Linked DNA regions of Neurospora crassa OR74A. The protein of the gene in region 1 binds, or shares a complex with, the protein of each later gene. Links are inferred from orthologs where the notes say so. Each region holds a gene or a part of one and is shown on either strand. Other genes may lie near its edges.

Region 1 (4,215 bases):
CGCCTCCAAAAAGTCCCAAGAATGGCTCACCGTACAAGCCGAACTCGAAGCCAAGAAACGCTCTTCTGCTTCTTCTTCTTCTTCTTCCATGCCCACCATCGGCGGCGGCGGTGGCCCAGCAGCCACTGAACAACAACAACCAAAATCCCTTTACGAAGTCCTCCAAGCCAACAAGGCAGCCAAGCAAGCGGCCTTTGAAGAAGCCAACAAGATCAAGAACCAGTTCCGCGCTTTGGACGACGACGAGATTGAGTTTCTTGAGGGGGTGGCGGAGAGGAAGAGGAGGGAGGAGGAAGAGAGACGAAGAGAGGAGGAAGGGGGGTTGCAGAAGTTTAGGGAGTTGCAGCAGCGGCAAAGAGGTGGTGGTGGTGGTGATGGTGGTGGTGAGGAGCAAGAGGGAGGGGATGGAGAGGATGGGGGGGATGATGATGGGTTGGGCGAGGAGGAGTTGATGTTTTTGAGTGGAGCGGGAGGTGCAGGGAGGAAGAGGAGGAGGATGGGAGAGGGGAAAAGGTTGGTGCCCGGGGTGGTGAAGAGGGCTAGGAGTGGAGGAGAGGAAGGGAAAAAGAAGAAGGAGGAGGAGAAGAACACGGTGGTTTCTGAGCCAGGCAAGGTTACGGCTACAGTTACGACCACAGTTACGGCGCCCGCGAAAAAGCCCCTTGGTGGACTTGTGTCATATGCATCGTCGGATGAGGATGATGACTGAGCATTGTAAAGGGGAATGAAGAATGGAAGACGGGGCCCCAGACAAGGTAGGAGTTGACTTGGTTGAACTACTTGATTCACGAGTTTACTGGAAGAGGCGTCTCATTATATGATGTGTGGAAGAGGGCTGCAGAGATCAGAGATATCGCCAATCTCATCTGATTAGCAACCGCTAACACCTAGCCTTTTAATATACCCAACAACTAGTCCACATCCAGCTTTTCTTGGCCATTGCTTATTCATACACTGTGATCGTAACATGCGCCTCCTTTATATCTTTTGTTTGTACATGAGGATAAGATGCCAGTTGGACACAAGTTTCCTGTATCAACAGTACCACCTCGCTTATTCAACATCCTTATCCTCCAAAGGGACAAGCTTCTTCTTGTTGAAGGCCTTGTCATAGCCCCAATGACAGGCCTTCCTCAATGAACCCTTGATCCAGCCCTCGACCTCCTCCTCGGGCACTTTAATCTTGCTCACCCGATCCTCGTCCTCGGGCGTCAAGGCAAACCTCCTCATGCGGTGCGCAAGTCTTGGGTCCATAACCACGGGCTTGATATGGATCTTTTCCGTCACTTCCTTATCGGCATCGGCCTCATCCTCTTTCCATACCTTCTTGGGCCAGTCCTGCTCCTCCCACTCGAGCTCCTTCGCCTGCTCATACTGCACCGAATCGGTAGAAGGCGCGTCTGGGTTGGTTTGTTGCTGGAACTCGCGGTGGGTTGCCAGGCACACAGCGGCGACTTCGCGGCCGATGTCGTCGGCGAGTGAGCGGCGGTTGAAGAATCGGACCATGCGTGTAGGGGTGTTGAGGAAGCCGAGAATGTGAGGCTCACGGATAGGGACCGCAGGGGTGAGTTCCTGTGGCGTCAGGGGATGAAGGGTCTCGGACGAGTAATCGGAGGTCGTGTTGTATGGCTTGGGTTGGGGTGGGCGCTTGGGCTTCGGGGCTTCCTCCTCCTTCTTCTCCTCCGCGGGCTTGTCTTCTGTAGATGTGCTACCCTCGGCCGCAGCGGGTGCGGGTGTGGGAGGGAGTGGCGCAGGCTCAGCGGGCGCGACCAGCGGCCCTAACCAACCCTCGTGCAGGCCCCGGAGGTACTCCTTCCATGTGTGACGGCCAATGACAACATCGCCGCGAACACCTTCGTAGTCCTTGATGCCGCGCTGCTGGCGGTAGATCTCTATCAACTCGTCCTTGGTAGGCTCGCGGTTGGGGTCCTGCTCCTCTTTGTTCTCCCAGCCACGGCGCACCTTGCGCAATCTTTCTGCGACTACGGCGCGCACGTCGCCTTCCCGGCGGCCCTGCACAAACTCCCAGTCCAAGCCACTGGCGGCCAGAACAGGCTTGACGTATTCTGTGTAGTGATCCTGAGCGACGCGCAGGCCGTCGCCGGGCGGGGCGGAGAGGTAGATGGTCAGCTTGCGCGGCTGTTCAAGACCGAGTTTATCGGTGATGGGTTCGGCAGCCAGGTGCTCGACGGCGTGTCTCCATTTCGCAATGTTTCGCCTCTTCTCGCGGCGGTCGTAAATAATTGCAGCTGTGATGGAGGCCGAGACGGTCCAGAAGATCATCCAATTTCGGGAGGGGAGCTTGTTGGGCAGGTTAGGGAGACCGAGCATGCGAAGTGCCTGGTTCTGCGGCCTCAGGGCTTTCGGAGGAGGAGGAGGAGGAGGAGGAGGAGGCTAGGTGTGATGTGAGCCATAATATTCAGAAATACGATGAAGTGCGAAGGAGCCAAAGTGTAACATACTGTAGCCGTAGTTGCAGCCGGAGCGGCAGGCGGCGCAGTGGACGCCGGGGGTACTGGGTCGGCCATGGTATAAAGTGTTGCGCCGGCTGATGCTATTACTCTGATGTATGTCGTGTGGTGATGGAGTTTGCGCAATTACGGGCGCATGCAGCTTACTGTGACGGCGCGAGGGGTATCGTAGGGAGAGATCGGGGGGTGGTTCTCGCGGGGGGCGTCACAGTTGGAAGACAACTTGAAGAGGACGACGGGATTCCGTAACGATTGTACGGACTACGGACAGCGACTCCGTAGGAGCTCCGTTGAGGACCTTGGGGCCGGTGCAGCGGAGCACCCGACTGCCAAAATTCCCGGACACACTTTCTTATCGCGATAAGCCGATAAGCCATTCCCGCGGCGGCACCCACCTGCATCTTTCATCGCGTTTAGTGGTTGTGCACGGGCCATATGCGAAGGTCAACCGCACGTCATGCCAGTGACACTTGAATTAACTTTTAGTGTATAAATGCAGACCACGCAGACTTGGAACGGCCCAAGATTTTATCTTGAGAGTTCCAAGATAGTCTCATGTCTGGACTTTACTCTCATAAGTTGGGGAATTTAGTCAGCCCTATTGAAGCAGGTTCCATCTTTCTGAGCCAGAACTATAGGTTCTAAAAGCGTCTGCAAAGGGTACCTGAGCTTGTATAAGTCGGGCTACCTGTTCCGTGTTCTTACTTTCCCTGGATTCTCTGCTGAAGCATCGTAGAGGATGTCTCTACAGTAGACAATTGTATACTCGGTCGTGGCGACTTGGGCTTCATGTGCTGTCAGCGATCATGATGACCTCTTGCGTGATCAATGGGCACAACTGTTCCGAGACGCTGCAACCCCTGAAAGAACAGGAGCACCCAGGGAAGATGCGGTGTCGATGGCGCTAAGCGTGTTCACCCCACCTTCAGCTCCACCAGGATGCCCCTTCGATCAATTGCAGACCCGGGAGTGCCCGCTCCCAGCCAGTAACAAATTCCCGGACCAGAGTCTCGATGCTCTCGAGGTCCAATGCCGTTGCGTCGAGCTTCAACACTCGGGGGACTGGTGGTTTACCTATAGTGTGCTTGTGAGGCACGAGAAGATGGCAGCAGTGCGGAACAGACAGCAACGAGTTGACGTCTGACGATGAGGTTGGAGTCAGGGGTTTTCAGGTTGACCAGGGCACCCCATAGTTAGGTGGTCCTGTTTCGGCCTGGAGCTCACCACTGGACCTGGGCATGTCATCCCAAACATGGAACCCCTCTTTCTACGACCTCCTTATTCCTGGGCATCGTGTACTAGATTCACATCGAGGCCAGCTTCCTGTGGCAACAGAAAACGGAAACGTAAAGATGCTCCTAGTTGTCTGTTGTTATTCAAGGTGTCCTTTGAATGCGCCCGTGGCTGTCTCATATCATCACAGTCTATGTCTTGGTCACTTATAGATGGGATCTGTTAGGTTCCATGTCACCTCTATACGTCTAGGTCTTTATTTATACTGATACCGCAGGGACCCTGCCCCACCTGCTTCCCTTCCGTTTGTCTGATTCGTCCGTACCTAGGTTCTCCGAATTACAGCGCCCTGAATCGCCTCCAGCCAGTGCTCTCCTGTCAGACTCCTTCCTGTAGGTAGGCTGGAGAGGCTCACGTCGGTCACGCTTCCACTTTGCTTCCACTTCCACACTGCGCCTATCGACTGCACGTTCCAGCGGGACACTTCCACTTCGGACGGTGCCACTCAACC
Region 2 (3,191 bases), on another chromosome or scaffold:
AAGAGATGATAAAATGGCTTCGCTTCGCCGCCAGGTTCCGCAGTCGCGTTCACCGTGCGAAGAATTCCCACAGCTTCAGCAACCTTTTGTAGGTATCCTCAGACCCCAACTTTGAGCTTCGTAGCGTAGATATGGGCGAGTTCAGGCTCGGCTCATTGTACATATTCTCACCGCTTGATGAAATTTACCTGAGCCGCCTAGAAACATATCAGATTGCGATTCACCCCTTACCATAGCCGACGGACCGAGCTTTTGCCGCGACAAGGCAGCTCCACCTAGAGCCTCCAAGCCAAGTTGTGCGTTTGGGATGGTGGATGTATCAAAACCATAACGATTTGGGGGGGGGGGGGGGGGGGGGGGGCGGGACACATACAAGGCCACCTCAAATTGCCACAACGGCTTGAAAGTAGAAAAGCATGTTGTACCCATCAACTGCGGGTCTTGTTTCATCTTTCATATGCGGGCAAGACATATTCCTCCCTGAACACGAGATCCTTCCCGGGTGGACGTCATAGGCTGACTCTGGCTGAGGCTGCATGTAAGCCCACGATATGTACTGCTGTTGGTGTTTTTGGATTTCCGGGAACACACCAGTGCTTATAAGCACTTAAAAGGCGATGAACACTACTGCAGTAATGAAGAAAGAAGACGTCCGCACCACATCTCACTAACCGCAAATAACCGTCAATGGGAGAAATGGCTCACATCCCAGCACCTTTTTTTTTTTTTTTTTTTTTTCTTCTCACCACAAAGCCATGGCCAAAGTAACGAAGCCTTTCGGTAGTGACACAAGACACGGAGAGATAAAACAGCCCATTGGACATCGGTCCCTACGAGCCAGCGGACATGCCGTCGTTGTACAATACCATACTTTGCACACAGTCAGTCCTTCCCTTCACTTCCCCGCCCTGCTGAATGGTGGGTGATACAGGGACGAATTGCCGGAAACCTAATGGGGAGCAAGACAAAGGCAAAACCTCAGATAGCAGTACCAGTGAGGCTCTTCTATCTACCTATACATAGTAAATGTCTGTTTTTAGTAGTGATCCCTCCAGTTGGCGCCGTCTCCGAGAGGTTGTTGCCCTGTGTTGGATCGTAAGGAGTGATGTCATTCCTCACCGTTGGCGTCGGCTATGGTTGCAGTGAAGACTGTTGGTTGAGCTGCCTGCAGTTGTGCAGTGCAGTGGTAGTGTACAATGTTAAGAGCGAACGTTAGTAGCGCACAGACCTTCTTTGCTACTGTATCCCCCGGTCTTGCCAAGCCTTGCTGCCAAGCGCCAAGCATCGAGCTCTCTGCCGGGCGGTGAATTTTTAGAACTGCAGCTTCAATCCATCCGACTCGTTTCTGCCCGTCGCGCGCAGCGGGCCCTAGGTAGGTACGACATCGACATCTATCCATCCATCCATCCATCCGTTATCGATTCCACCTCTGCCAACCGACCAGGACCTTACATCCATACTACAACTCGAATTTCCTCAAGAGTTCGGAATCATCACCGAACCACAACACCAAATCGACAACAATGGATGGGTAAGCAAGAGAGCAAGGGAAACAACAGTCACCTTGTGTTTTTTTTTGTTTTTTTTTACGACAAGGAGAACAAGACTGGACACCCAAAACTAACGTCATCGTCAAACTTTCCATCAAAACAGACTTACAGCCGCCGAGAGCCGCGAGCTCGACCAGCGCCTTCAGAAGCGCCAGGTCAAGGAGTTTATGAGTGTACGTCGTATATACACACTTTCTTTCTTCGTTACACATTTGCGCCACCAATATTCTTCCATCTTCGAGTCGTCGCTACATCTTAGATCCAAACATAGCTACCGTCATCACCAATCTTTTATCCCCCGGTCTTCCACCATCCATCCCCCAACTATCCCATCTACTCGCACTTACTCGCAACCTGTTTCCCACCCCTCCTCCTCCTCCTCCTTCCTTTCCACCTATTTCCGAACTGGCATACCTCAATTTCCCCATCCATCCATTCTCCCCCTCCAACACCACCCCTCTCCACGCCTCTGCTAGCTCTCCCATCTATCTATCCCAAAACCAACCCACCAAACCTCTTACCAACATTCCCCCTCCCTTCCCTCTCTCTCTTCTTTCTTCTAACAAACAAACGAACAAACAAACAGGTCTTCGGTAACCTCGTAGACAACTGCTTCACCGCCTGCGTCGACGATTTCACCTCCAAGGCCCTTTCCGGCCGCGAGTCGGGCTGCATCAGCCGCTGCGTGCTCAAGTCCATGTCCACCCAGACGCGCCTGGGCGAGCGCTTTGGCGAGCTCAACGCTGCCATGACTGCTGAGATGCAGAGGCGGTAAAATAAAAAAAAACTACACTATACACTGTACTACAAGAAGGAAAGGAGAAAGGGGAAGGAAGGAAGGAAGGAAGGAAGGAAGGAAGGAAGGAAGGAAGGAAGAAGGGTTGAGGGGAAAAAAAAAAAAAAGACAAATGTGTATAAATAGGTTCAGTTCGGGAAATAAATTGGGTTGACGACGATGAGGCAGGTTGCGCATACATGCATGCGTACCATACACACATACATACATACCGTAAAGGATATTGCGAGTGAAGGTGTGCTGGTTGGGTTGCAGAATGAGGTGGTGAGGAATACCGGTTTTCCGTTGTGGATGAATATGGAAAGAAGAAGAAGAAGAAGAAGAAGAAGAAGAAGAAGAAGAAGAAGAAGGGGGGGGAGAGGGGGAAACGGATGGATGGTATTGAATACCTAGGATGGATGGTGTCGAGACGAGTCCTACTTAGTTTCTGCCAGCTTTGGCTAGAGGTAGGGAGGAAAGTTGAAGGTGCTTTTTGTCGACATCTACGGATATGACAATTTTCACAAAAAGCCTTTGAGGGGACAACGGAGGTAGCCGTTGTTGTTGTTGTTGTTGTTGTTGTACCTCTGGTAGTCGTGAAGCGTGATACCTACGGGGAGAGATCTGGTACGTGATGTGAGGTAACGAAAAGAGACTGAAGCGAAGATATTGGCACTAAAAAACGGATTTATACAAAAGTCAAGATGTTGGAATCTGGCTGTGTGCAATAATACAACAAATCTTTCTGCGTGGTTATATTGTGATTTGTGGGATTACATGGACAATAAACCTTCCTCTTACTTGATGACTAGAGGACGGGCGAGTCCCTCACAAAAGAACTTTCGAACTGTACGGTCGTCATGCGC

What was found.
Region 2: the proteins of tim54 (region 1) and tim9 are in contact, whole or in part, in a cryo-EM structure (PDB 6LO8), measured with the Saccharomyces cerevisiae proteins. The link is inferred for Neurospora crassa OR74A from reciprocal best matches to the Saccharomyces cerevisiae genes TIM54 and TIM9. Residues at the interface, in NP_012481.3 of Saccharomyces cerevisiae: Glu76, Met78, Glu79, Val80, Lys82; in NP_010894.1 of Saccharomyces cerevisiae: Lys65, Glu68, Arg69, Gln72, Arg73.

Annotation. Positions count from the first base shown.
Region 1 is NC_026504.1:4,486,994-4,491,208, reverse strand, and holds tim54 (mitochondrial import inner membrane translocase subunit tim-54), read right to left. Parts: upstream 2,794-4,215; 5' UTR 2,529-2,793; coding exon 2,463-2,528; intron 2,395-2,462; coding exon 1,054-2,394; 3' UTR 759-1,053; downstream 1-758. Other genes in the region: NCU07294 (hypothetical protein), read left to right, coding at 1-709. UniProt on the Saccharomyces cerevisiae protein: Essential component of the TIM22 complex, a complex that mediates the import and insertion of multi-pass transmembrane proteins into the mitochondrial inner membrane.
Region 2 is NC_026503.1:2,973,960-2,977,150, forward strand, and holds tim9 (mitochondrial import inner membrane translocase subunit tim-9), read left to right. Parts: upstream 1-1,351; 5' UTR 1,352-1,523; coding exon 1,524-1,531; intron 1,532-1,653; coding exon 1,654-1,723; intron 1,724-2,136; coding exon 2,137-2,325; 3' UTR 2,326-2,505; downstream 2,506-3,191. UniProt on the Saccharomyces cerevisiae protein: Mitochondrial intermembrane chaperone that participates in the import and insertion of multi-pass transmembrane proteins into the mitochondrial inner membrane.